Linked DNA regions of Tamandua tetradactyla. The protein of the gene in region 2 purifies or fractionates together with the protein of the main gene of each other region. This does not show direct contact. Links are inferred from orthologs where the notes say so. Each region holds a gene or a part of one and is shown on either strand. Other genes may lie near its edges. The genes, in order: SCAP, INSIG1, AMFR and ERLIN2.

Region 1 (7,788 bases), on a different chromosome or scaffold from region 2:
CATTCTTCTTTTTAAGGATATCTTTGGGTATTCATGGTCACTTTCCCTTCCAAATAAATTTGATAACTAGCTTTTCCAAGTCTTCAAAGTAGATTGTTAGAATTTGTATTGGTATTGCATTGAATCTGTAGATCAGTTTGGGTAGAATTGACATCTTAACAACATTTAACCTTCCTATCCATGAGCATGGAATGTCTTTCCACCTGTTTAGATCTTCTTTGATTTCTTTTGGCAATGTTTGTAGCTTTCTGTGTGCAGGTCCTTTACATTCCTGGTTAAATGTATTCCTAAATACTTGATTCTTTTAGTTGCTATTTTGAATGGAATTTTTTCCCTTATTGTCTCCTCAGTTAAGTCATTACTTGTGTATAGAAACATTACTGATTTTTGCACATTAATCTTGTATCCTGTCATTTTGTTGAATTAATTTATTAGCCCAAGTAGTTTTGCGATAGATTTCTCAGGATTTCCGAAGTATGGGAGCATGTCATCAGCAAAAAATGGAAGTTTACTACTTCCTTTCTGGTTTGGTTGCCTTGTATTTCTTTTTCGCCTGACAAACACATATTGACCTTGTAGGCCCTACTCAAATGACATTTTCATGATTCCTGCTCTTTGTTTTCTTGCCAGTAGACTCCCTGTATCCCATAGCACTTAGAAGGTCAGTGGCAAACTTTGGGGCTGGGGAGACCACATTTCATACTGCTTCTGCCATTTAGCAGCTGTGTCACCTCAGTAAGTTGTTATAGCTCTGGATGGTTCAGTTTTTACATCTGTAAAATGGAGTTTATCTTATCTGCCTCATAAGGCCTTTTTGAAGACTATGAGATAATATGTTGTAATATCTGTCCTGGCAAGGAACTGACAGCCAATTATTGGTTATTTTTATGACCTCTGTAATTACTCTTATCATATTGCCTATAAAGTTTTATATTAAGATAGTAAACTTCTCTAGTCCAGGGAATTTACTTATTGTAGCCTGGGTCTCTGAAACATGGTAAGAACTTGATAAATAATAAATGCATATCATTGACTATCATTGCAACTTTGATATTTAATATTTTTTGAGACTGTATTTTTTATATTAGAATGGCCACTATTTATTGGGTTCTAGGCATTTTGCATGTAATCACACTCCCATTTAATTTTTTTTAAACCATAGATGATGTTATTCTTAGTTGCATCTTGGAATCAAAGAAAACCGAGGCTCCATGAGGTTATGTTGCTTCTTCAGGCCACAGAGTTGCTGCTGAATGTGAGGATCAGTTTCCATTACAAGGAGCTTGGCCCTGAAGCATCCCAACTTATTATACTGCCAACTGCTATAGCTAATGCTTAATGGTGAAAATGACCCTCAGTGCAAGTATTGCAAAGACAAGTATCATTATGAAGCAGCTTTCTCTGAAACTGTGGCAGGCAGAGACAGCTGGGCAGGAGGCTCTAGTATTGGGTCCCAGAGTTAGAGCTACCTTGGGCACATCTCTTTCCCTCCCTAGAGAAAGATTTCCTCATTTGTAAAATAGACTCAACCCTTCTTTTCTAAGATTGTTATGAGGATTAACTGAAATCAGTTTGAAGGTTGGCCCAGGGTAGATGTTCAAGTTGTGGGAATCATCATCACTTCTTGATCTCTAATCTCTCAGTAGTTATTTTTAAAAATTGCTGAATATACCATCTCCCTGAGAAGTAATCTGAAGTAAGATTTGACTTTTGGTTAGTCAGGGCTAGAAGTTGCTATTCCACATGAAATAAAAGTAAAATGTAAAATCAATTATTGGCAACATACCTGGAAACGCATTAAAAAATAAGATGGATTGGTGGATAGATAAAGGGATAGATTCGTAGATAGACACAAGAAAAGTAAACCATTAACAGTTGTAGAATTAGGATATATAGGTGTTACCTGTATGATTCTTTCAACTTTTCTTTGTGTTTTCATAATATAATGTTGGGAAGAGAAGCTCTAACATCATGGCCACTTCATTCTGCAGTAGATTCACCAAGGCCCACTGAGCCTTTATTTCCCCAGAGGCTCCAAAAGGCCCTTGTTGGTGCTCCTGGTGCAGTGGAGTATTCGTCACCATGCTTCAAGGCTCAGAGGTACTTAGCCAAGTGCTTGTCAGTTTTGGAGGCTCTTGTTTTCATATGTATCCAGACCTCACTGAGGGTCAGTCCCCCTGCAAACCGATTCATTGGTGTGGTCAGAGGAGAGGGAGTGGTAAATAAGGGGAATGTTCTAGTGCTAGCTGCTAGAATGAAATATGCTAGAAACGGAATGACTTTAAAAAGGGGTATTTAATAAGTTACAAGTTTACATGTTCTAAGCCATGAAAATGTCCAAAATAAGGCAAGGCCATAGAAATGTCCAATCTAAGGCAGCCAGGGAAGGATGCCTTGGTTCAAGAAGGCCGATGACATTCAGGGTTTCTTTCTCAACTGGAAAGACACATGGTGAACATAAAGACATCAGCTAGCTTTCTCTCTAGCTTCTTGTTTCATGAAGCTTCCCCAGGGCCGTTTTCCTTCTTCATTTCCAAAGGTCTCTGGCTGCATGGGTTCTAGAGCTTTTTCCAAAATGGTTCCCTTTTAAAGGGCTCCAGAAAGCAACCCCACCTTGAATGGGTGGAGACACATGTCCATGGAAACAATCAGAAAGATCCCACCCAGCAATACTGAATGAGGATTAAAGGACATGGCTTTTCTGGGGTATACCACAAATTCAAATTGGCACAAGGAGTGATAGCAGTTCTCAAAAAATCAGTCTGTCTGTCTATATCCCCCTCATGAAGGTTTTTATAGACGGTCTCCTAGCCATCTCTGAAGAGAAGACTTAGGTCCAGTGGGCCTGGGTTAGGGCTCTGGGGGACTCTGATTCAATTTTAAATATTCTCCAGGTGATTCTTGTGAGGCAAGTGTGCAACTATGTTCTTTTTAGGAACTTGGCAGTAAAAGAAAGGGGTTGAGAATGGGTCATGCAGGGTCATAGTAGGTTTAATCAGAAAACTAAAGAAAATTGGATAAGTTTTTATATTTGCCAAGAGAAAAGAGGCAGTGGAGAGAGAAAAAGGAACTGGTTACGTAGATCCTTCATGCCCAAGGTTTCTGAGGGGACAGATGATGGGATTTCAAGAAATCAGATACGGAGAGGGTGATGTGAGAATGAGTAGGGGGTATAGGTAAGGTTTTCCCACAGTACTCTTTATTGCTACCTCCCTCTAATTTAGAAATAAACAAATGAAAATAATTCTTCCTTTATTGAAATTAAAATCTCCATCTTAAGCCAAAAGCCAACCGAAAATACAAGGAATAATCCTAAATGTCATTTTGGCCAAGGCCAGTTGTCCCTACTATTCTTTAGTACCACTGTGACAACAGTGTGGAGGGCAGGGAGCAGGGCTGGGCTTTGGTGACCTTGGAGAGGCAGTCCAGAGTCTGGTAGGAATGGGGTTGAAGGTGTGGGAATAATTATTCACAGAAGGCATAAGTAGGGCAAGAGCAAAGGGGTGGCCAAAGGGCAGTTTGTGGTTTCTGCCTTGCATTGTAGCTATATATGCACTGTATCAGCACTTTATACAACTCCAGTGCTGGTGCCCTTGAGGACAGCAACATAATCTCTGCTTAATCTTTGCTGTCCCAGGGTGAGTGTACGTAGGTGGGTGGCTCAGGCACTTAGAGCTCCAGCAGGGAACAGGATGGTATGAGCAAAGCCCCCCACACCTTACTCCCCAGACAATGAACAAAGGACTGCCTGTCCTGGGCCAGCTCTGTTCAGGGCAGGAGACCTGTACTCCCATCCTAGCTTCCTGGCAAAGCTTACTCTTTCTCTTCTGTGAGAAGGGGGTTTAAATGAAAGGACATGTGCAAAGTCCTCAGCTCAGGACCTAATCACAATGAACAGAGTTATTGATGTGTCCAAATGTGTCCCATGCAGAAAATGGTTAAATACCCATCAGCAAACCACAAACACCCACTTAGAGATTGCTACTGACGACACATCAGTGTGTTATCACCCTAGACTCTTCTCCTTGCGTGTGTTCTTAATAAAAATGAATCATACTCTGCAGTTTGTTTGGAAACTTGCAAAAAGCTCTTTTAACTTCACTAAGTATTTTAAAACTTATCCTTTTAAAATCTGTGTAATCTCGTTTTTTTTGGATATAATTTATTGCACCCATTTGCACTTTTCTACTTTTTTTAATGGTTTATAATTATTTTAATGTGCTGTTGAAATTGGTTTGCTAATATTTTGTTGAGGATTTTTGCGTCAGAGGGAATTGGTCTGTAATTTTTTTTCTGGCTTTATTATGAGGGTGATTTTGGCCTCATGGAATGAATTAGGGAGTGCCTCCTTCTCCAATTTTTTGGAAGAGTTGAGGAGGAATAGTGCTAATTCTTTTTGGAATGTTTGATAAAACTCTCCTGTGATGCTGCTTCTCACTTTTTACTTCTATATAAAAGGGTGCATGGACATCTTGGGCACGTTTTGATAATTCTCCAGAACGTGTTTTCAAAAACTCTCGTGCAAGCCTGGTGGTTTCCTTTCCACCGGGCCCAGGACTTCCTCTTCTATTTCCTTTGGGGTTTTGTGGCTGAAGCCCTCCAGGGGGCGAACGGGAGCCGCGTGTGGGCGGGGCAAAGTCATACCACGCATGCGCAAGCCTCCGGGAGCACGTGCTCAGGGCGGCTCAGGGGAAAGGTAGGAGGTGAGAGGTGAAGGGGCGGGGAGCTGCGCGGGCGCCGGTCGGCCCAGTAAGAGAGGGCGGGCGCCACGCATCGGGCTGCGGTCCGGGAGCGCGCACGCTGCGCCCCGCCCCCGCCGCCGCTGCCCAGGAGCCGCTGCTGCCACAGGTATAGCCGCACGCGTCCACACGGCGCCCGCATGTGGGCCCCGATTCGGGCTTCACGCTGCGCGGACCCCAGTGTTGGAGTTGGTGGCCCTCAGGGAGGGACTGGGGCGGGGGCGCTGCCCAGCAGCTTTGCGGGCTGGGCGGGAGGGACTGCAGCTCCGAGAGGGGCCGGGCCGCTAGTCCCTACCCCCACTCCGGCCAAGTTCCGCGCCCCCACCTCACCCCACGTTACCCCACCCTGCTCGGGTAGTGGACCACTGCCGGGAGAGGGGGCCCCATAGTCTCCTGGGCAGCTTGCTTTGGCGCTTTCTGGGTCTTCCAGAATGAGGAGGAGAGCAATGCTGTCCAGTCTCCTGTCTTGGAAAATCTGATTGAGGCAACACGTAGCTTTTCTGACGGGTTTTGCTTTTGCAGTTCCCTGTGTTTTGCTTGAACTTAAAGTTTGCTTACTAATTTTATAACTGTTAATTTCTGTACTTGGCGGAAAGTTGTACAGATGAACATGTTGGGTCAAGGGAGCAGTGAGGCCCTATGAGGGCTTTTACAGGAGTCTCCCTTAGTCCGGGTTACACAGGAGTGTAATATCAAGATAACGTTAGGTGCAGGGAGTCCTGGATCCCGACCTTATTGCGGAAAGTTGTGCAGATGAACATGTTGGGTCAAGGGAGCAGTGAGGCCCTATGAGGGCTTTGACAGGAGTCTCCCTTAGTCCGGGTTACTTACAATCCCATCGTCTACGGTGACAATCAGAGATGAGTTGATTTAAGTCTTTTGGGGGGATTTATTAATAATTCTTGTGAGGACATGGAAGAAGATGTTTTCTTTAATGATGTTAGTTTTGCGGGTGTCTTTTTTTATTTGAGCAAACGTTTTGTGGAGTCTGGTTATGTAGCGTCCTTAAGGGTGTTCTGCCTTCGTAGGATGTGGTGCCATATATTGACGCTTTTGTAAGGAAGTCTGATCAAGGGTTTCTAGTGGTATATACATTTTAAGTGTTCCTGGGTGATAGCCAATTAAAGACCTGTATCTTTTTAAATGTATGTTTACATTTAAGTGCTTTATACCTTTCCAGTTCATTCTACTGCAGTTGTTGGTACTTTATATTACAGTGATGAGTTTCAGGATTCTACTTAATTAAAAAAATTATTGTTGTCTTCTGTCTTATCAGTTCATATTTGAATAGATTGGTGTTTGTTTAGAAAGTTGAACTAAAATAACGGAATGGGTTTTGAGCAAGAAATATATTTGTCTAACTAGAGAAGCTATCATTTACCTAGAGGAGACATCATTCCTCAATACCAGTGGTTGTCAAACTTTAATGTAAATTACAGTCACCTGAAGGGCCTGTTTTAACCCCACCCCACAGTCACTAATACTGGGATAGCCTGGGAATTTCAATTTCAAACAAGTTCACAGGTGTTGCTGCTACTGCTGGCCTGGGGCTTTCAGAGCCATGTAAATGCACCTGAAACCAGAGCACCATGTCAGTGCTTACATCAGATTTCATGCTGAATCCCATCAGCATCAGTCAGTTTTGTAGTGTAGTTCTGCCAACTACATACCTGGTTCTTACTTTTGGCTTATTTTCTTCCTATTTTTAGGTGATGTCTTAAAAGTGAGATTGCATTCTCTTCTATGGTGCTATTTCCTTTTCCCCCTGTAATTCCATATTTCTAGGTTTATTGAGGGATTTTTAAGTAGAAGTCATCTGTGTTGAAGAAAATAGGCAAGCACAAAAAACACAAAAGCTTTAATTGTCTGTAATCCCAGTGATAGCCATTGATAATGTTTTGGTGTATATCATCTCAGGCTTCTTTCTCACTCTCTTCCTTTTTCTTTGTGTAATGGATCATAAGTATTATATCTCACTTGTTTTTTCCTTTACAACATTTTCTTTCTTTTTTTTGTTTGTGTTTTGGGTGCCTGGTCCTGGAATCGAACCTGGATCTCCTACATGGAAGGCGCGCATCCTACCACTGAACCACCCATGCACCCTTATCGTTTTTTTTTTTTAATGTAAAATCTCATTTATTTTTATGTTTCCCCATAACTTTATCTTCTGAGTAGCCTTGTCCAACGCAGTTTGCTGCATTTGGCCTTGTGCTTGGGTTGCACCTCTTAGAATGCTGCACATTACTCATGAGTTCTCTGAATCATGGTCTCTTTCATCCTCAGCAACCTTATTAGATCCCTGCTTCTTTGATCTTCCTCAAGCTGGCCTGCCATCCCTTCCTCCCTCTAACCAGCCTCTGCTGCACCATTGAATATTCCTACCAACAGTGTAGTAGGGTTCTTGTTTCTCCACATATCTGCAAACACTTAAATCCTGTTTATGAGTGTTTACACACTCATACATATATGTAATATATATATAATATATATATATATGCCATTCTAGTGGGTGTGAAGTGGTACCTCCTGATTTTGATTTGCATTTTTCTATTGAGCTTCTTTTCGTGAGCTTATTAGCCATTCGAATGTCTTCTTTAGAGAAATGTCTATTCAGATCCTTTGCCCATTTTTAAATTGGGTTATTTGCTTTTTTGTTAAGTTGTAGAAGTTCTTTTTGTATTCTGGATATTAAACCTGTATCATATATATGGTTTCCAAATATTTTCTTCCATTCTGCATGTGGTCTTTTCACTTTCTTGATAGTCCTTTTGTTGTTGCTGTTAGAAAAGTTGTAGATTTACGGAAATATCTTGTGTAAAATACATAATGTACAGAGTTTCCATATACCACCATTTTATTAACACATTGTGTTAGTGTGTTACATTTGTTATAATTAATGAAAGAACATTTTTACAATTCTAGTAACTATAGTCCATTGTTTACAGTACGGTTCACTGTGTTGCGCAGTCCTATGTTTTTAAAATATTTTTACTTTAGTAACATATATGACCTGAATTTTTTCCTTTTAACTAAGATCACATATATAATT
Region 2 (7,433 bases):
TTTTTAAAAGCCATTCTGTTTCTGGTATATTGCATTCTGGCAGCTAGCAAACTAGAACACTGTGTGATTACACATACCAAAAAAGTCTTAGCAAGTAAGCTAAGACACTCCTCAATATTCAGGAATACAATTCTGCTATTAAATGACGGTGTAGTCTATACTTATTGACTCTGAAAAATGTTCAGGATCTCTTAGGTAAGAAAAGGAAATACGATCCTATTTATGTTTTTAAAAACATACATACATGTACATAGAAAAAGTATCTGGAAACATACACACCAAAATGTTAACTGTGGCTATCCTAAGTAGTGGGATTATAGGTACTTTTTAAAAGTATTTTTCCATCTGTTTAGATATTTTACAGCAAGCAGGTTATATTGTTTTATTAAAAATAAATATAGGGCGGTGCGACAGTGGCTCAGTGGCAGAATTCTTGCCTATCATGCCACAGACCCAGGTTTGCTTCCCAGTGCCTGTCCATGTAAAAAGATAAAAGAAAAGAAAGAAAGAAAAATAAATACACATGGGCAGTGCAACAGTGGCTCAGTGGCAGAATTCTCACTTGCCATGTCAGAGACCTGGGTTAGATTCCCAGTGCCTACCAATGCAAAAAAAAATTTTTAAAGGCTAAAAAAAAATACACATATTTAGTCACCTACCCTATTTCTTAAAATATTATGGTTGTATGATGACTAATGTTAAAATAAAAGAATAGTAGGAATACAACTAAGGGTAAATAGCTCACTAGACGATGTCTCAAAACACTCAGATTTCCCATGATTCTTCTGTGTCTAGAATAGCTACCGAGGCATTGTGTCCTATTTCACCATCCTGTTCAAGATAGATGCTATCATTCCAAGTATTGAGTGTCAAACACTCAAAATATTTGAATATGGTTTCTGATATTGAAGTTGAAGTCCCCAAGAGGATAAATTCCAACTACTCAACTGTCAATATCCTAGACTGACTTGATTCATGGAGTCAGATTATATAGGCATTCAGGCCAACCACACACAATGGGAATGCAGTGATAAACTGTACCTTAGATTAAAAGAGGCTGAGCTGACAACATTCATCAAGGACCCAAGAAAAGACAGCCCACAGGTGGCCCTTCCACACTCCCACAGTATGCTTTGTTCCACATACGTGGAGCAGCCTCAGCTTCACAGGGCCTCCCTGGCTACAGTCCCCATGGTTGAAATTGTCCCAGCACAGATGAAAGGAGAGGATGGTCAGAGAGGCTGGTTCGTCTTAATATTGACTTGGGCAGATAGAAAGAAAAAGATGACAGAGTAAATAGACCATGCACCAGGTTGAATAGAATCTTTCCAAAATTCATGTCCACCTCAAACCTGAAAACATGAAATAGGGTCTTTACAGATGTAATTAGTTAAGACGAGGTCATACTGAATTAGGTCATATAAAGACAGAGATGCACACAAAGAGGAGGACATCATGAGAAGACAGAGCTTGGAGTAATGCATCTATAAGTCAAGGAAAGCCAACCACTAGAAGCTAGGTGGAAGGCATGGAACAGATCCTCCCTCAGAGCCTCCAGAAGAAACCAACCCTACGCACCTCTTGATTCAGACTTCTTGCCTTCAGAACTGTGAGAGAATAAATTTATATTGCTTTAAGCCAACAAATTCGTAGTCATTTGTGGCAGCAGCCCTAGGAAACTAACAGAGACTTTAGCATACCAAGTACCTAAGGGAATTGATAGCCCCTTCCCAAATATGAACCAAGCAACTCAGGAATCTATAAAATAGCTTTACATGGTAATACCTTGAAACTAAGAGGTATTACAATTGAAAGCAATGTTGGGGCAATTTACATGGTCAAGCAGAACGGCAGGAGAAAGATATAAACAAAGAAAACCAAATACAGCTTAAATCCTAGAAGACAGATACACTGGTTTCTGTTATGAAAGGAATCCATGTAGACAGCAAGCAGCTCAATATGTATGCAAAGAGTTTTCACCTGTTTTTTTGGGTCTCACATACCTGAATAAACCAGTTTATGAAAACGGTCCCAATAAAGCAAAGATTCCTGTATTTGCTGGTGTTTCATAACTGAATCCACCACATATCTACATCTCAGGGTCAAGACTATAATGCAGATGCAGCTCCATGAGGTTGACAGTTTTACATCAGTGATTCTCAAAATGCTTACGGGCTTGACACTAATGACAGTAGAATATAGTTTCCTGGCAGTTAAAAAAGAAATGATTCTCAATTACATAACATTCCATTCTATTGAGGTGCCATCATTTATTTAACCAGTTCCCTATCAGCTGACAATTTGGCTGCTTTTTAGTTTTATTTTTGTTAATACATACCAAGCTCCAATGCTACTATGATTGTATACATACGACTTTGCCCACTTAGGCAAGGTGGAATGGATATAATGATCCAAGACTCGAACTACAACATTTCTTGAAGTCAAAACTCCTTTGACTCTTTGGCAACAACATATAAAACGGTGAACAGGCCCTGAAGAGGATAGGGAGAGAATCTGAAAGCCTTGATTCTGCCCAACCCATTCCGAAGGGAAAGGGAAAGAGCTCCATCTAACCCCTCCATTTCCAAACGGTCACTCACACACATCTGGTTCAAGTTCAAGGAACGAAAGCAAGTCACCTTATTAGCAAATGCTATGTCTTCTTGATTGACCAAAAGGGTTTGAGAGCAACTTTCAGTTACAATCCATAGTGACTACACTTAGTGCTCACAGAAAAGTAGAAAAGATTAGGTGAAGTTCACACCAGATTGGCATCAGAAGGGGTTTAAGACCCACCACAACTAAGCTATGTCTCAGCCACGAAGAGGAGTAAGAAAAGAGAAATTTGGTAATGACTCTGGAGTGATAGAAAAAAATTAATGAATGGCAAATGTGTTCACACGTGGCTTCTCAAATTTTCCTAATGAAACATCCCTTACAGTCAAGGAGTGTGAGCACAGCTGCTGTAAACACTACTTTTCCCTGAAGTCCCGTTTTGTCATTAAAAATTCGTATGAATCTCTCTCATCCCACCCTTACAAATAAACATAAAAACTTTTGAGAAATATTGATACCGCATGAAGATGTTTCACTTTCTGTTGTTTAACCTTCTGGCTTAGAGCCACGAATCTTAACCTGGAGAATGCCAGACAAACGGTTATTTCATGTTGCCATATGGTAGGCGTGACTCAAGTTTTCTAAGTATAGGATCTTCTCATAGCCATGAAGCGTTGCTATTTACAGCACAAACTTCCTCTGCAACCTCTGCTCATCTGCAGCTAGTACAAAAGACCACATCTTTCTCTACTATTGTTGAAGAACATTTTAAATACTATAGATCTCGTTCAACATGTTGCAGGTTTTCAATTGGCATGATGCCGGCCTACTGAGCTTATTTTTAGATGGCGTGACACATGTGATAAACAGGATATAAATACATTACACATGTCAACAAGATAAAAGTCTACTTTTTCAAATGTTTTCTGTTTAACATTTTCTTTTCTCCTTAGTGGCTTTGAGGGTTTGCTTTGCAAATGTGAAGATTAGAAAATAATCCTTGTGTGAATGGAATATTTGTCATTTATTTGTTCTCATAAAGGATTTTCTGTCTGGTGGGAGATAAGTATAAAAGTACCTTTAACAACACATACATACACACACACAAAAATTAATATCTAATATTTAGCAAGCCCTTACTACATATTAGGGACCATTCTGATCACTGCATGCATTAGCTCATTTAAAATTAATAGTTATGGTAACTATCAAGAGCCTAAGGACTACAAAGGGACATCCCTACATGAAATAAAGGTTGGAGCTGTAATGTGGGGTGTCTGCAGGACTCCTTGTTAAAAAACAAGATATGCCAGATTCACACACTTAAGGCAAAAACTGTTTTCTCCGTTGATGATCAAAGTGAAGGGGGCCAGGAAAGAAGGTAAATCTCTATCAATCGGCCCACATTTGAGGCTGCAATGACCCCAAATCGCTTAACGCGAGGTTTGGGAGCGACACGTACGGGTTGTATAACATAAATCCGCTTCCTTAGCCATTAAGCCCCTTTCCCAATGATCAAGAGTCTCCTCTACAGCCATTCAGGTTTTACTTTGGCCCCAAGCGTCAAAATTTGCGTGGAGCCCCCTCTCACGGCTCCTCTGAGCCCGGTGGGGGTCGAAGTGCTACCGGCCCGGCCGGAGCGCCGTGGTCCAACCGCGCGGGCGCCTCGAAGGTGAGGCCGCCACGCGGGTGGGGCGAGAGGCGCGTGACGCCTGCCCCGGGCCACGTTGGCTGCGACCTGCCCGCGCGGCCGCCTCCGCCACAGCCCCGTGCTGGACGCGCGCGGGGCGGGGCCGAGGGGCCGGCGTCGGAGCGGCGGGCCCGGCCCCCAACGTCCCGTTCTCGCTTCACTCGGCTCCCTTCTCCTCCTCCGCTGGCGTCCGCCACCCCAGCCTCGCGTTCCCCCGGCGGCGCCGCCCCTCCCTCGGCCCCAGGTCCAACTCCGCGGAGCTGAGAGGCAGCCCGACCCGGCTCCCGCCCCTACGGTTCGTAACTGTCGGGAGGGAGGCGGGTGGTGTGTCGGCCACGTCATATGGGCCGCCCGCCTCCCATTGGCGGCCGAGGCCTCACCAGACCGAATGTTTACCTGGAGGGCGGGAGCGGGCGGGAGACCGAGGCCCCGCCCCCGGCCGGGGCGGCGTGTGGGGGCGGGGCGGCGGGTGACTTCGGGTAGGCTGGGCCGTGGTAACGTGATTTGGGAGCTTCACGGCCTGTGATATAAAGGTTTTACTGCCTGCTGGATGCTGCGGGGGAAACTTAAGGGCTAGTCTCCACCGGCGGCGGCTCCTCCTCGGTAACCCCGCCTCCTTCGCCTCGGTGAGCCCGCGGGCGGGCGCCCTCAGGCAGGTAGGGAGATGCCGGGGTGGGGGGCGCGAGCCGGGACCGGAGGCCGGCGGGGAAGCCAGAGGGGGCTGCTCAGGACGTAGAACCCACTCCTGAGGCCCCAGCTTCCCGGGTGCTGGAGCCTCTCTCTCCTTCCCCGGGAGCTCGAATAGATGAACTTTCCCAACGGAATCTGAAATGTAGACCTGGAGGCCTGACTGCTCAGGTGCCTTGGCCTGAGTTCTTTGGGTTGATGGGCTGGACGCCCCCCTCTACTTCCCGGATAAGCGGGATTCCCAGCACTCTTCTGGTGGGAGGTGCAACCCATGCACGAAATTGTTTGGTTAAAATAGTAAGTCGTTGCCGGCGTCCAAATGTGGTTAACCAGTGCTGCTGTTTCTTACGTCGCTTTTTTCAGTTCAAAACCAGCAGGTTTGATCCTGTTAACGTTTTCTGCGAAACGCTGGTTGAAGATTGGGATGTTTTCCTTATGCTAGTTTTAAAAGTTTCGTGGCAGATGTACATTGTGCCTTGAAAACTCTTGGACCGAATGGGCAAGCTTTTCAGGACATACAGAGTAGGGATCCTTGGTAGGCGGGTAGTTTTAAAGTGTCTGCTTTATTTTGTAGAGTTATGGTTATATTTATCTTACATATTGCTTCTGCATACCTTCAAACAACTTATGCATCACCCAGATAGAATGTATGGGTAGTTTTTTTATATGTTAATTTTGTGACAAAAGAACAGACATGAGGTAATTTATGTAAGTGCAGTGGCTCGGTTATGCAAGGTGGCTGATGTCTGCTACTATAGCCGCTACTAACTCCCTTGAGGAACTTTTTTGTTCTTACTGTATATGCTGGGGATGAATATTAGTGTAGCTTTCAGCATCTGACTTGGGCCACAGGGCTGGAAGTTACAGGCTTCTTTAACTTTCTTTGCCTCTTTATTTCCTCCCCCCCCCCCTTTTTTTTTCACTTCCAGGAAACTCATCTCGACCTTTGGTGGTAACAGATGCCCAGATTAGACGGTCACTTCTGGAGTTGTTCCTGTGCTCACGGTGGGAGGCACCCAAAATACCTGAAAGCCAGTGCTGGAGGGCTGGCAGCAAAAGTGGGAGAAATGATCAGTTCGTCTGTTTCCAGCCCCTCTTTGCTGGTGGACCACAGTGGTGTGACCACAGACCCCTCTCAGAGGGGCCGGAGCACTGGAACCAGTGGCCACAGTAGCGGCAGCAGCCACGCTAACAGTTGGCATCATCACTTGGTGCAAAGAAGCCTTGTGCTTTTTTTAGTTGGAGTTGTCCTAGCCCTTGTGCTCAACCTACTGCAGATACAGAGAAATGTCACCCTTTTCCCCGAAGAAGTTATTGCCACCATCTTCTCCTCAGCCTGGTGGGTTCCTCCCTGTTGTGGGACAGCAGCTGGTAAGTAACTGTTCTTATTTTATTTTAAAAAGTATATATAAATATTTATTTATTTATTGTCAGTAAGGAACATTTATTTGAAAATGGAGCCACTCACAAATTAACACTGTTTGTCACCAGTGTTTTTTTTTAATTTAGGTAAAGAAAAGAGGGGTAGAGAGTATTATCAAACCTCCAAATGCTAATCTAAGCAACAGCTGTCTCCAAGTTTGAGGAAGTCCAGTGATGGAGATGAGGTAGGGAGATAATTGGCTGTTGAAGCAAATGCCTTTGCCAAACCAAGCTCTCTTCCTCTTACTCTGGGCAGACTAAGGACAGTCTTGAGTATAGCACTGCAGCTGTCATCAAGAGCTAGCTGCCCTGTGATTGGCTGCCTTTAGAACTGGTGAGCAGCAGTGCTGAGTTCCTACTGGTTGCCTGAGTGAACATGCTACACTGCTGGATAACTAAAAACAAATCCGTCACATGTGTTCGAGAGGTGGTTGCCAAGGGAGCAACTTCTCAGCACTTCTTTTGCCAGGACATCCAAATGAACTGCGGCCAATAGCCAAGCCTTTTTTGCTCCCTAGAACTGTTAGCTCTATAGATTAAGTATGTCAGGAAGAGAGTAAGCCCAATTGTGTGCACGTGGACTGTCTTTTTTTGAGTAGAATTTCTTGGTTGTCACTTAGCCAGTTTTATAACAACACTGAATTAATCTTAGCCCAGCAGATCACTTAGTACTTCCTTAGTGTCACATAGCACTCATTTATATAAGTATTTGCCAGGTGTAATATGAAATATTACATTTTATATACTTGTAATATAAAAGTATGACAAGCCCCTGTCCTTAAGAGTCCCATAGTCCAGTGGGGAAACCAAAGAAACATGTATATACGTAACTACAATACAATATGAGGAGCACCCTAATATTTTCCTTGTAGCTAGTGTTTATTGATTGCTTACTTTATGCTTTATGTGCTTTACTTTTTTTGATCCTTACAACAATCCTGTACTTAGCTCCATTTTACAAATGTGGACGCTGAATTACAGAGAGGTGAAGTAATACTGTCCAAGGGTACCCAGCTAGTAAGTGGCAGAGCCACTGCGTTTGAGCTTAACGGTCACTTAAGAGCCACTGTTCATAACT
Region 3 (7,065 bases), on a different chromosome or scaffold from region 2:
GTCCACACTCTGAGAAATAAGTCTTCAGGGGGATTGCTCAATTCTTTTTCCTCACAGTAGACCACTTTTCCCACCCCTAGGTCTCCTCTTCACCTTTTCAGCCTCCCTCTTCAATCAGAAAAGCCAATAGATTTTTAATTCAATAGTTTACTGACTGCTCTGCATATGCACTGCACACCAAACTGAACTTCACGTGCAGTTTTCTTTGCCTGGAATGCCTTTTCTACTTGTTGAGATCCTTCCTGTTGTCTAAGGCTAGGTCCAAATGCGTGTGCCATGAGTTCTCCCCCAGGCAGAATCTAATGTCTTTCCTCCAAACTGTACCATATTTTGTTTATTACTTAAAATGTTTCAACTATACCCCCTAGAGTGCACAAATTAGTACCTCTGAAAGGTTTTGAATTGAATTTGTTTCTAAAACCTGTTGAGACACTCTACAACCTATATTATCCCAAATTGAGCTCTTCAAAGATACATTTAGAGATTCCAACATGTTAAATAATAGTTGGTAGGACTTGCAAAATGGCAAAAGGATCAGTTTTTGTTTTATGTTGCTGGGTCTTAGAAGGCAGGGTTTTTTGAAAAAAGTTGAACCAAAATGCCTTTAGGAAGGCGGCTAAGAGGATACTGTTTTTGTCAAAGACCCCACCACTTATTCATTCATTAATGTTATCAGGCTACAGATTTTGAGCTTATGATCCCTACTTGGCTGCTAAAGCAGAAACTAAAAACTTACAAATGTACACATCCATGCTAGCTCTAAAAAACCAAGGAAAGTGAAGATGTACATAAAAAAAAGAGAAATGAGGGAATGAAAACAATAAAATGATCAACTGAGAAAATGAAAACACCACCAATAAATAGGAAGAAATTATAATTGCATGACGTAAAACCTCTCAAAAAAAACTGCAAAGGGAAATCTTCTTAAAAATAACAATTTTCACAGAAAAATCAACAGGCTTCATATAAAGTTTTATGAAGTGGTATTAACGTTGAGATTTGAACATGGGTTTTGCAAGAAGAAACTTCCAAGGGAAAATATTATTAATTCTAACAGGTGTTATATAAATACAATAGTGATTCCTTTTCAGATGCTTATTTGAACTTCTGACTTAAAGTTTTAGTCAGACTTCATTATAATCTTTTGGCTAAATTACTCTTCATATCACTCTAAGTTTTTTACTTGCTAATTCAAATGGAAAAAAATTACTGGAAATTAAACAAAAGATGTGAGTTGGGTTCTTTCTCTTCTGCCTTCTTTGGTACTGTAAACTTCAGCTTTACACAGCAGAAGCGGATTGGGCTTCATCTTTCACTGCCTTCTACTAAACTCTACATCAGACGGATGAAGTGTATTCCACAGCCCACAGAGTTCTCAAATCCCACCGCTCACTGATGAAGCACAGTGGGATTAATTATAACAAATGAGTTGTATATCATTTTATAAATTTGGAATTATTAATCTCTCAGTCATTTACAGCCTACTCTCAATTCCAGATGGGAACTTGCAGGAGAAGAAGCTAAGATACAAAATGCAGCAGTAAATGCCCAAGTGACAGATTTATCTCCTGCAGCAACTTCTTTGATCGCTGCAGGATTTATGTAACAAACATTCAAGACCCAAAGAAAGCAAAACTATTTATCTAAAATACTCTTGATCTGCCCGGCCTGAAACTACCTGTTTTAATAAAGGAAACCAACATTTATGACTTGTAAATGTTGTTTATCTTGCACTGGAGGACAAACTGGGAAGCTTATTGTGAAATAGATCACTAGAAGGAGAAATCTCGAGTTAAAATTAGTTGACTCCTGAATTGAATGTTTTGCTGCCTTCAGACATCAAAGAAAACCGACATAACTCATCAGGTAAAAGCAGCAGGAAAGCACAGTTTTGTTTTTTAATTAAACATACCACCCAAAGAGGACGATCAAATACCAACCAATGGCAAAAAAGTTGTGGGAGAAGGCCTCTCTTCCAACAGGAATGCCCAAACACAGGCAAATGTCCATCCCTGCCCTCTCCTCTGCATTAAAAACCCGCTAACAACTTTTCCAAGCTTTATAGCCAGAGAAGCATTTCAACTTCCCTTCACTTAATAAAGCATGCAGGTTCGCTGACTCTGTGCTCCCAAACTCCCTTAAAAACCTGCTCTTTGAGGTTTCCGATTTCCTTCCAGATGGTTCCTCAAAAATCTCGACTCCGCAGGCCACCTTTTGCTCCCCCAACCCCTTCCCGGGCACCTTAACCTTTTCCACCCCCACCCGCCCCTCCCTAGGGGCCTGGCCACATTCCCTCACCCCCCACTCCCACCCACCGCTCTCCGCACCCCTCGCGCCTCGTGGACCTGCTTCCTCAAGCCCTCACCTCGGGCCGTATCTTCTTTCCACCCCAGAGCCCACCCCCGACACCGCAACCCTCTCCTTCCGCGGACGCTCTCGCAGGCGCCTCCCGCACGGCCTCTGCCCTCGGAGGTCTGGGGGGAAGGAGGCCCCTTATCCCAGCCACGCCCCCCACGAATAATGGGTGACATGGCGGCTCACTCCCCCACCCACCCTCACCGCCCCACTCCTCTGTAGGGCCTGGGGCAGCCTCGCTCACCCACACGAACAGGCTGTCTGAGAGCAAATACTGGGCCACGTCGCGGGCCCGGGGACCCCCAGCGCTCGGCCGGGCCGGTGCGGGCAGCTTTGACTGCAGCTGGTCCGTTAGCTGGGCCGACTCGGCCGACCCGGGCCCGGCCTCGGGCTGGCTGAGGGCGCGGTAGGCGCTGACGATGGTGCCGAGCAGAGCCAGGCCGCTGAGGCCCGTGTAGGTGCGGAGGCTTGGCCAGGGAAAGCGCTCGAGGAAGAGCAGAGGCATGGCGGCAGCGGCAGCCTCACGACCCCAGGCCTCCCCGCGTTGCAGCCGAGTCCCCGCGGGAGGCTCGAGAACAGCGCCCCGGGGTTCTGGCGTCGCTGTTGCCGCCGCCGCCGCCACCCCGGGCCGGGCCGGGCAGCTCCTGGCCGCTCCGCCCCGCACCGCTCCCGCTGCTGCCCCTGCCGGCGCGGAAGAGCCTCGGCGGGCCCCGGACGGGCTGTCGCCCCCAGTGGAGCGCTGGCGGGACGGGAGAGAGGGCGCGGCCTTCGTCCCCCGCCCCCAGCCGTCGCCCCGCCGCCTCGCGGGCGAAGGACTAGGTCGCAAGCCCTGCGGCTCAGCACCAAGCTTCATCCTTCGCCTACACCCCGGCTCGGCTTGGGCCGCGGCAGCGGAGAGAGCACGCTCCGGGCCAATCCGAGACTTGACACAGGCCTCTCGGAGCTGACGGGCGGCCTGGCCCTTGGCCCAGGCCCAGTGGCCGGCCCGCCAGACGCTGGGGAGCCCCCCGGACACTTGCCCCTTTGTTTCCTCCATCCTCTAAAGCAGGGTGTCCCCCAGGACCCTTGGTATTTATGGAATAATAGAGGCCCTGACCACGAAAGCAAGAATATTATGGAAGTTTCTCTCCAATAAAGTTACCTCAAGTGTTTCTGCTGTTTACTAATAACCGCTAGCAGAATCTGAAACGAACCTAATTTGGTACGAAATAAAATGTGTTCCTCATACAGTGCTGGGAAGAATGTAAAATGGTGCTACCACTTTGGAAGTCTGGCAGTTCCTCAAATAGTTAAACATAGAGTTACCACTTAAACCAGCAGTTCCACACTTTTTGAAGTTTATACCCAAGAGAAATGAAAACATATGTTCGCTTGTACACAGATATTCATATCAGCATTGTTTATAATAGCAAAAGATGGAAATTACCCAAATGTCTATCAACTGATGGATAAACAAAATGCAGTGTATCTATGCAGTGGATTATTATTCCACCTTAAAAAGGAGTGAAGTTTTGATACATGCCTCATGGATTGAAAATATGCTAAGTGAAAGAATGCGACACAAAATACCATATATGGGCAGGCCATGGTGGCTCAGCAGGCAGGGTTTTCACCTGCCATGCTGGAGGCCCTGTTTCTTCTCCCAGTGCCTAGTCATGTGAAAAAAAAAAAAAAAGACCATATATTGTTTAATTAATTAAATGAAACGTCTAGAATAGGCAGATCTATAGAGACAGAAAGTAGAGTAGTGGTTGCTTAGGGCTTTGGGGGGAGGGGTGGGGGAGAAAGTGACAGCTCAAGGGCACAGGTGGCTTTTTGGGGTGATGAAAATGTCCTAATATTGTAGTACTATTTGCACAACTCTATGAATATACTAAAAACCACTGAGTTGTACGCTTTAAATTGGATGAATTGTATGGTATGTGAGCTATATTTCAGTAAAGGCGTTGTAAAAAAAGTCACCTAAAGAAAAATGTGTTATTTAGGGTCTTATTCTACATATCCCCAAGACCTATAAATAGTGCCTGAGTATAGTAGATGCTCAGTAAATATTTGTTCAACCTTACAAACCTTCAAAACAAAAGGACTAAATTATCTTTAAGGTCTTTCTCAAGTCTAATAGTCTATTAATTAGAAAATAAGAAAAGATCTCTTGAGGTTGTTACCATCCACTGTGGAATTTAAGAAGCATCCAGTTAAAGGGGGCCTTCCATAGAACAACAGTTTGGCTTTACTGGGGGTCAACTACACACACAATGCTTTCTTATATGAAGTCTATATGCTTATTAGACTTCAGTTCCCTTTGATTCTATAGCCAAGGTAATTTGATTAAAATGCTAAACTTTCAACTTTATTGATAAAATGATGGAAAGCTTTCTTTTGGAAAAATGAGGATAGTTAACTTTCTAAGGAGGTGTTACATTACAAGATTTGAGCCCCAAACATTTTTTTAAAAGGCTTACTGACATAATTCACAAACCGTACAACTCATCCATTTAGACTGAACAAAATGGTTTGTAGTCTATCCATTCACACTGTTCTAACAACCATCACTGGTCAATTTTAGGAAATTTTCATTACCCCTAAAAGAAACCTAGTGTTAGCTCTCACCCCTTACCCACCTACCCTACCCCACCCCACCCCCCACCCAAATATCCCCAATAATTCTTAAACCACAGTTTGGGGTTGGTTTTACAATGGTGATTTATTAACTTACAATTTACACTTCTTAGGCTGTGAAAATGTCCAACTCAAGGAATCAACTGGACAATACCTGGACTCTGAAGACAGGCTGCTGGCCTCTAGGCCTCCTTTGCCACTATGACAAGGCATATGGAGACAGCTGCTGGTCCTTCTCTCCAGGGTTTCATTGCTTCAGTGGCTTCCACTCAGCTGCTCTGAATTTCATCTCCTAGCTTCTGTATGTTTTATCCTCTTATAAAGGCCTCCAGTAGGATTAAGACCTAGCTTGAATAAGGTGGGCCACATCTCAACTGAAATAACCTAATCAAAAGGTCCCACCTACAATAGACGTACATTCACAGGAGTGGATCAAAAGAACATGGCCTTCACTGCCCTTTCCCTCTCTACATGGGACATGATTCCCAGGGGTGTAAACCTTCCTGGCAACGTGGGACAGAAATCCTAGCATGAGCTGAGACTCAGCATCAAGGGATTGAGAAAACCTTCACAACCAAAAGGGGTGAGAGAGTAACGAGTCAAAATAAAGTGTCAATGGCTGACAAATTCCAAACCGAGTTGAGAGGTTATCCTGGAGGTTATTCTTACGCATTAAATAGATACCATCTTTTTAGTTAAGGCATAACAGAGAGTTTGGAGGGAAGTGCCTGAAAATTTAGAGCTGTGTTCCAGTAGCCATGTTTCTTGAAGATTATTGTATAATGATACAGCTTTTGCAATGTGACTGTGTGATTGTGAAAACCTTGTCTGATGCTCCTTTTATCTACCTGATGAACAGATGAGTAAAACATATGGATTAAAAATAAATAAATAATAGGGGGAACAAATGTCAAAATAAATTTAGTAGATTGAAATGCTAGTGATCAATGAATGGGAGGAGTAAGGGGTATGGTATGTATGAATTTTTTTGTTTTTATTTCCTTTTCTGAATTGATGCAAATGTTCTAAGAAATGATCATGATGAAGAATATACAACTATGTGATAAAAAAAAGAATGCTCATATTGTATGTTGATTGGTTTTATTAATAAAAATAAAAAATTAAATTTAAAAAAAGAACATGGCCTTTTCTGGGGTACATAACAGCTTCTAACTACCACACACTAATTGGTGATCCATATTCCATCCAAACACAGGCAATCACAAAACACTAAGCATTAAACTTGAAAAAGAAACAAATTCTGGCACCATCATAAGGGGCTACTGTCAGTAGATTGACCTTAAAATATAATATTCCAATATTTTGAATTTCAAAGTGCTTGTCTTTGAACTATACTGAGATATCCACTACTTCCTAAGTGTTAAAAAAAAAAAAAGCTTTAGTCAACTTATTCTCTGGAATGATTTTGTAAAGAGCTTAATATCAATTTTTTACTTTTGTCTAAGACTACATAAAAATTACAGTCTAATTTCATTTAGAAGCTTGAACTTTCTGAAAAACCTATGAAACAGGTAAAATTAACCAAACTATGTAAGGCTATTTTTACTTGCATTTTGAAAGAATTTAAAAGTTTTTCTCAGGATTTTACTAGGATAATTATTTGTTCTACCAACATTTTCACTGTCCCACTCCAAGAACATAACCAAGTTTTACACATCCCTATCTCAAAGATATCTTGAAAGGCTGGAAACCACTCAACCAATGCTCAATGCTTCTGGGTCTTTCTAAGTGTATCCCACACCATGAGAGGAACAGGGGAGAAAGCAGAACACAAGAATGGACCACACCCAAAGGACTACCTGTGTCAGCTGAGTCCCAGTCCCGAGCCCCAAGTGCAGCAAGGTTTCCAGTGGCTGATCCGGCCTGGGTGAGTGGAGAAGAGTTTGTGATGGAAGAACCTCTAGCATCTTCCCACTCCACCTTCATTTCAGAGTACCATTCAAGCCCCTAGATTGTTTGAGTAAGTCCCTCCACTCTCAATAATGACTAATAGACTGAATTCTCTGCCATCTTTGTGGGATGGGGACTCTAATTTGGTTTGATGTAAAGAAAAAGAAATGAGTCATTTCA
Region 4 (7,347 bases), on a different chromosome or scaffold from region 2:
AATTTGGGACTGTGCTCATTAACTTGATTGTGGTGATAGTTTCACAGGTGTATACTTTACATCAGAACATCAGATTGTATACTTCATATGAAGTTTATGGTATGTCAATTATATCTCAATAAAGTTATAAAAATCAAATCACAAAATAATCTTTAGGTGGCTTCCAACTGACTTCAACTTGGTATTTTTTGATTCCTCTTTGATCCTTCATCCGACCTCCCTGAAGTAGCACCTGAAGAAAAGCACCGTTCGGCTAAAGCATATATCCTTTTGTTCTTCTATGGTATCAACCCTCATTTTTATAACAAAGTAAAAGAAGAAAGTTCTAAGGAACTCTCTTAATACTTGTAGAGTTCTTCACTCCTCTTCTCCCAGTTCACCAAAATCTTACCAGAATCAAATGTCCTGAAAGATGACCTCTATCCTTTTAAGGCCTAAAGTAGAAAAGCAGGAAAAATCAAAATCAAGTAAATAGAAACTTTGTTCCAGCAACTTCCACTCTTGTGATATAAAGAACTGAAGCCAAACATTTTAAAAGTCACTTGACTCCTTCAGAGTTAACCTGGTTGTCAATAAAAAGGGCTCTGTCTGTGAAAAGAAGGGATTTCTTCTTTTTGGAGTGGCACTTTCACTAACAATTAGCTAGATAAGAGAACCAAACAAACAGCAATCCAGAGATACGGTGATGTGGATTGCTGGAGAGAGGTACTTTTTACCCGGTTTCAACCTACAACTGCAAAATGAACTTGCCCAATTTAAAGTTTTGCAATTTCTGACCACTGGTCTACATTCCTGAAAAGTCGTATTGTAAAAAATAAATGTTTGCTTGTGTGTTTTAAGCTGTATCATTTTCCAATCTGCTTACTACTGAAAAGAAATAGGCTTGGGATCATTTGAATTCTGCCTTTGCCACTTCCCAGTTTTGCAATCTTGGGCAACTCCTTAACTTCTCTAAGCCCTAACTTCCTCCTCCAAAATGGAGTTGAATTCAAAGGGCTGAAATGAAGATAATATAAAATGAGAAAGGCATAGGATCTGGTACATAGAAAGCACTCAATAATATTTTATGAAATTTGCATTGTAAATATCTATTGAAGTATAATTCAGAGTCCCTTATCTCTCCTTCTGATAAGGCTTCATTCGCCATTTGCCCAATACCACATAACTTTAAGTTTATCCTTCTCTCACCCTCTCACCCTCTGTCACATTAATAATCTGTACCCACAAACATGCAAGAACATATTAAAAGAATATTTAAACTAGCAAAAGTCTATTTAAAAAAGCAAAAGCTAGCACATATTGAACACTTACAACGTGCCAAATATTATTGTACGTGCTTTTCTTAATTTGCCATTTAATCCTTGCAACAGGTTGCAAGGTTGACGCTATTAAAACCGTCATTTTACAAGTGAAGAAACTGAAGCACATAGAGTTCTTTTCTCCAAGTCACACAGCTAATAAGAGGTGAAAGCCAGAGCCCCCAATCTTGGAGTTCGTTCTTATGAAACTGAATCCCACAAAGGATAGGCTAAGCCTACTTAAAATTAGGCCTAAGAGTCACCCCCAAGAGAACCTCTTTTGTTACTCAGATGTGGCCTCTCTCTCCAGCCAACACGACAAGCAAACTCATTGCCCTCCCCCTGTCTATGTGGGACATGACTCCCAGGGGTATGGACCTTTCTGGCCATGTGGGACAGAAATCCTAGAATGAGCTGAGACTCAGCATCAAGGGATTGAGAAAATCCCTAGAATGAGCTGAGACTCAGCATCAAGGGATTCAGAAAACCTTCTCGACCAAAAGGGGGAAGAGTGAAATGAGACAAAATAAAGTGTCAATGGCTGAGAGATTCCAGAGTTGAGAGGTTATCCTGGAGGTTATTCTTATGCATTAAGTAGATAGCACCTTGTAGTCAAGATGTAATGGAGAGGCTGAAGGGAACTGCCTGAAAATGTAGAGCTGTGTTCCAGTAGCCATGTTTCTTGAAGATGATTGTATAATGATATAGTTTTCACAGTGTGACTGTGTGATTGTGAAAACCTTGTGTCTGATGCTCCTTTTATCTACCTTATCAACAGATGAGTAAAACATACGGAATAAAAATAAATAATAGGGGAAACAAATGTTAAAATAAATTTAGTAGATTGAAATGCTAGTGATCAATGAAAGGGAGGGGTAAGGGGTATGGTATGTATGAATTTTTTTCTGTTGTCTTTTTATTTCTTTTTCTGAATTGATGGAAATGTTCTAAGAAATGATCATGATGATGAATATGCAACTATGTGATGATATTGAGAATTACTGATTATATATGTAGCACGGAATGATCATTTGTTAAGAATGTTTTTGTTTGTTTGTTGTTATATATTTTTTTAATTTTAAAAATAATCAAGCTATACACTTAAGATCTGTGCATCTTAATGTTATGCGTATTATGCTTTAATTAAGATGCACAGATCTTAAGTGTATAGCTTGATTATTTTTTAAATAATCATTTATTCAAATATTTATTTTCAAATAAAATTTGAAAAATTTTATTAATTTGAAAATTAATAAATGGAATGGAATAATCATAAGTTAAGAATGTTTGTGTTTGTTACTTTTTTTAAATTTAAAAATTAATAAAATAAATAAATAAAAATTTAAAAAAGAGGTGGGAGCCAGGATTTAAACCCAGGCAGTCCGGCTGTGCAGTCAGTCCCCACACCTAACCACTTCTTTACCACAGCACATCTGCATGGACGCTTTGGACAGTGAATCATAAAAGTCACAAGTCTCATAAGAAAGGGATTTTCAAAAATGTTAGCTCATCTTGCAAAATTCATCCCCTACCTTAAGGCAGGGCCACAACTAAACAACTCAGTTCTACTGAAAGCCTCCTGAGAACAAAATCCCAGAACTTCCTCTCATAGTCCATTCCAAAGTTTAAAAGTCAGAAAATTCTTAAAACTAATTTAAATCCCTTAATGCTGCTGGCTAAGCCCCTTTCCTTCGGTTGATAAACTCCAGTGTTTCTATTCTTCTTACTCATTGACTCACCTACTAAACAGTTGTTAAGCATGCAGGGATGCATTATATCTCTGAGCAGCTAGAGAAAAAGCTCGAGTTCTGAGAGGGAGAGTCAAGCAATGGACTGGGATGTGTGTATGATGTGAGTGGAGATGTCGGGTCGCAGGATGGGGAGAGGAGAGAGTCGAAAAGAAGGCCCTGATACAAGAAGACGACCCCAGACAGGACTATCCACCCCGCTTGTGGACCTAACCACGTATTATTCAAACATCTCAATACAAACTCAGACACAGCAAAATGAGGAAGGGACAAGTGGGTCAACCCCAAGCAGCCACAACGCCTGAAAAATCCACAATTCATTTTTCCTGCCTCCTACATTTGCCTCAAACATTAGCTTACTGTAAAAAGCTTTTCATTTACTGAAGACCGTAATTAAGTCTGAACTTCCTCTTCTACAAACAAAACTATTTCAGTAATTGAATTAGAAGTTCCGTGATAGGAGGTTTCTGAAGAGTGAAGGCTGAGGGCGATGGCAGGCCTTTGGACCAGGAGAGGCGAGGTCTGTGTTCTGGTCCTGGGTCCACCCTGCCTTCCAGCCAGCATTTATGAGGCACAGAAGCTCAGACACGACGCAGCCTCAACTCTCAGGGAGCTTACAGTCTGCTCAGGGAGACGAGGTCCGAGGCCTTATAGAGACAGTTGAGCTCAAGACGTTAAAGAAGCACAAAGCCTTTCACCATTATGTCCCACACATCACTGAACCTCTTAGATACACTTCCTTAAAATGGAGAGAATATCTCCTTCTTAATGTACTTTATGGTACTGTGGGGACCTTAAAGGCCAAAGCTCCTAGAAAAGCATAATGGGCAATAATTCAAAGTAGAGATAGCTTATTGGCAACACACGGTACTTAATCTGCTTATTTATAAGACCGTCCCGTGCAGCTGGGCAAATGGACAGGGGCCGGGCAGAGAGCTAGAGGAGTTTCAATGCACTGTTGCAGAAAAAAATATAGGGCCCCAAAGGGGACTCGGCCTAACAGAGGAGCAATCCTGGAGCAGTGTTCAAAGACAGAACCTCAGAAAGCGACCCTCTCGGTCTCGACCTCCCCACGCTACACAGACTCGACCCACACCCGTGCTCTCGCGCGTCCCTCCGGGGACTCCCCCACTCGCCCAAACCCCAGCCCGAGCCCCGGGGCCGGGTCGGCTGACGGGCGCCCCCTCGTGGCCGCCTGCGGACACCCGCCGCTCCCACTCCGGGGGGCGTGGCGGACCAGCCAGGAAGCGCGGGCCGCAAAGGCAGCGTCCTCGCGTGGGCTGATGAGGTCATCACTGGAGCGACGGGCCCGGAAGGAAGTGGCGTGCTAAGGGGTGTGGCGGTTTCTGCGGTTGCTCGGGGGTTCGGAGGAGTACGGAGCGCCTGGAGGGACAGCCCGGTACGCCGCCCCCGCCCCTCCTCAGTGCGCGCACCGGGTCTGTGTTGCTTCTCCAGAGGCCGGAGCTGCTCGGCGGTCTCTGGGGGTCCCCGCCTCGGCCACTTTTCCCTCAGCCGGCCCGTTCCTGCAGCGGGATATCAGCCCCTTTCCGCCCTGTCCCCCACCCACCGTCTTTCAGGCGGGGCCGAGCGGACGCTCTGGGAGCCCCGGCTGCAACCCTGGGTGCTGGGGACACGCTAGCCTCTCTCTCCGAGGAGGGAGGGGAGGGGGCGAGGTGGGACGGGGAGGACCCCCCGAGGGAAGGGTCTCTGCAGAAAGGTTGCTCAGCAGCGGCTGGGGGCTGCCACGCTGCAATGAGCGCCTCGACGCTCCCTGCGCCCGCCTTATGGTAGACCCGGGAGGCAAACTCCACGCTATGACTGAGTGTTCCAGACACGCTTTACTGTGAACTTGACAGTCGGTCAGCACGGTTTTTCCAGCGCTTTCAGGGTTCAGGAAACCAGCCTCTGGCCAGCTTTTTGGCGTCCTGGTCCCTGAACGCATTTGGACCCAGAAGCCCAGAGTCTCCCATCCTGGACAACTCTCCTCGTCCCACGAGGGGTTGGAGGAACTGTCAGGTGCATAATACCTGTCAAATGTATGGGAGGGAGTATGACTGCGGTCTTGTTCAGGACCCTATGTCCCCTTAAGGGCCCCGGGAATAACTGGAAGGTGGATGAAAGGCCACAGAATCCTACCTTGAAACTCCGCTCACTCCCTGTCTCTGTCACTCCAGGATCTGAAAGGAGTAAATAAGGGTTTCCTTTGAAATGGGAGACAATTAGGATTAGGAAGCCCTGAACAGAATTACATAGTCGCAACTGCCTGTCATGACATCCTCTGTAATTTGGTTCAACCTACTGCAGCTGCCTCTCTTCCTTCTTACTAGTATGCGTGGCCCCAGTGACAGCACATTCATGTTCACAGGAAGAGAAGGCTGTGTTCAGAACGCTGCCCAGTTGGCACTGGTTCTTTCCTGGACCCAGTCACTGTCTCTTCAAGGAGATGGAAATATAATTCCATGGCCAAGGAATGTGAATGTTGAGTTGACAAGGATGAAGAGAGCCTTGTGCTCCTACTGTAACAGGCTGGAAATGAGCCACTTTCAGGGAGCTTACCTCCATGAGATACTCTTACTGTCATAGTTTATCTACCACGGGCCACACACACTTTTTCCCATGTCTTTTCCCTAGGAGAAAGGTTCACTGATGGCTCAGTTGGGTGCAGTTGTGGCCGTGGCTGCCAGTTTCTTTTGTGCATCTCTCTTCTCTGCTGTGCACAAGATAGAAGAGGGACATATTGGGGTGTATTACAGGTAAGGCAGAGGCAAGGAGGAGTTTGCAACGTCCTGTGAAGTATTCCCCTTTGCTAGTCGCTGTCTATCAGATTCTGCTGAGTACCTACCTGTGTTTATGTTTTTTTTTAATATTTTGTCTTTTGGATCGACCTTTTGTATAAGTGACCATGAGGGGAGAATATTTTATTTACATATATTTTATGTATATTATATATTATACACACACACATATGTAAAAGCCTCCTTAGAGTGTTCTAAGATGATGCCAAGGATGGCAATTGATAAATATGTGGATTTAGAAACAAAACCTAAAGTAGACCAATGCTCCTTGTAGACCATCCCTAAAATGATGCTTTTTCCAGCATCATTGTGGGTGTTTGAGTGCCACAAAAAGACAGTTGAATCCCAATTCTCACTGGCAAATTGAGAAGATAGCCTACCCTGCTAATTTAAAGAATGATTCCTTTGGGACTATTCTTGAAAATTAGCATTTCGGGAGAAAGGAAAAAACCCGCAGGTTGATTTATATCAATCAAGGCAAGTGCCAGGGTGGTAGCTCTTAGGATTATGGGACCCATTATGTCCCTATTTACTTTAATACTCTTCTTAAAAAAAAATTGTCTTGGACTTAATGATGTAAAGCAAAAAAGCACTTATAAATCTTGAGTTGCTTACCTTCTACTAACCTCCATAGCCACGTTTTTTTGTTTGTTTGTTTGTTTGCTTTTAAGTTTTTACAAACTCCTTGTATGTGCCTTATGTTGCTTATACTGGATTCCAATTACAAGTACCAAAATTCTGATTGGTTTTCTCCTCTCCCCTTAAATCATTTCTCCCCACCATTTGCTTACATGTACAAAAACAAAAAGGCTTTGAATTTTTTAATTTATTTACATACAACTTCATTAGAACAGTAACTCTCTTGTCAAAAAGTACATATTATGGTCATTCGGTGGTAGAATGCTAACTTTCCATGTGGGAGACCTGGGTTCAATTCCTGAACCATGCACCTAAAAAAAATAAAAAATACATATTATGACTTATAAAGTGTAGTTAAAATTATTCTTTTGGTCATCCAGGTCACTGGACTCTTAACATTAGTGCAGTTAGTTAGTTGATAACTGTACTATCAGATTTGAGTGCCCTAATAAAATGCCACAAGCTCAGTGGGTCTGACAAAGTAAAACAGACCGTTTCTTATCCTAGGTATAATCAGAAATTCTTCTGTTTTTATTCCCCTTCGCTCTTGGGCCTGTTTTTGTCCTTGCAAAAGCATAAATGATGATTTTATGTTTTATCATCAGGTTGTTGTTATACCAAGATATTAGGGTAAAGCTGAGAGAAAGAAAGGAATCTGTGAACATGGTTCTGGCACATGCCACTTTATGTTCAGTGTTTATGGAGCTGAAGAGAAAGTTGGTCCAAATGGTATCTAATAGAGCCTTCTTGCTAAACAGCCAGTTTCTCTCTTCCCTGCAGAGGAGGTGCTCTGCTGACTTCCACCAGTGGCCCTGGTTTCCATCTTATGCTTCCTTTCATCACGTCATATAAGTCTGTGCAGGTATA

The links.
Region 1: the proteins of INSIG1 (region 2) and SCAP purify together in Homo sapiens (affinity purification with western blotting; 11 studies listed by BioGRID and IntAct, with this or other methods). This does not show direct contact. The link is inferred for Tamandua tetradactyla from reciprocal best matches to the Homo sapiens genes INSIG1 and SCAP.
Region 3: the proteins of INSIG1 (region 2) and AMFR purify together in Homo sapiens (affinity purification with western blotting; 6 studies listed by BioGRID and IntAct, with this or other methods). This does not show direct contact. The link is inferred for Tamandua tetradactyla from reciprocal best matches to the Homo sapiens genes INSIG1 and AMFR.
Region 4: the proteins of INSIG1 (region 2) and ERLIN2 purify together in Homo sapiens (affinity purification with western blotting; 4 studies listed by BioGRID and IntAct, with this or other methods). This does not show direct contact. The link is inferred for Tamandua tetradactyla from reciprocal best matches to the Homo sapiens genes INSIG1 and ERLIN2.

The regions. Positions count from the first base shown.
Region 1 is NC_135341.1:39,146,863-39,154,650, forward strand, and holds the start of SCAP (sterol regulatory element-binding protein cleavage-activating protein), read left to right. Parts: upstream 1-4,771; 5' UTR 4,772-4,848; intron 4,849-7,788. UniProt on the Homo sapiens protein: Escort protein required for cholesterol as well as lipid homeostasis.
Region 2 is NC_135327.1:200,660,572-200,668,004, forward strand, and holds the start of INSIG1 (insulin-induced gene 1 protein), read left to right. Parts: upstream 1-4,432; 5' UTR 4,433-4,541; intron 4,542-4,715; exon of another isoform or gene 4,716-4,902; intron 4,903-5,862; 5' UTR 5,863-5,892; coding exon 5,893-6,304; intron 6,305-7,433. UniProt on the Homo sapiens protein: Oxysterol-binding protein that mediates feedback control of cholesterol synthesis by controlling both endoplasmic reticulum to Golgi transport of SCAP and degradation of HMGCR.
Region 3 is NC_135342.1:50,117,856-50,124,920, forward strand, and holds the start of AMFR (E3 ubiquitin-protein ligase AMFR), read right to left. Parts: upstream 3,016-7,065; 5' UTR 2,861-3,015; coding exon 2,600-2,860; intron 2,385-2,599; exon of another isoform or gene 2,366-2,384; intron 1-2,365. UniProt on the Homo sapiens protein: E3 ubiquitin-protein ligase that mediates the polyubiquitination of lysine and cysteine residues on target proteins, such as CD3D, CYP3A4, CFTR, INSIG1, SOAT2/ACAT2 and APOB for proteasomal degradation.
Region 4 is NC_135352.1:5,638,585-5,645,931, reverse strand, and holds the start of ERLIN2 (erlin-2), read left to right. Parts: upstream 1-4,347; 5' UTR 4,348-4,445; intron 4,446-4,454; exon of another isoform or gene 4,455-5,062; intron 5,063-5,677; 5' UTR 5,678-5,692; coding exon 5,693-5,799; intron 5,800-7,260; coding exon 7,261-7,342; intron 7,343-7,347. UniProt on the Homo sapiens protein: Component of the ERLIN1/ERLIN2 complex which mediates the endoplasmic reticulum-associated degradation (ERAD) of inositol 1,4,5-trisphosphate receptors (IP3Rs) such as ITPR1.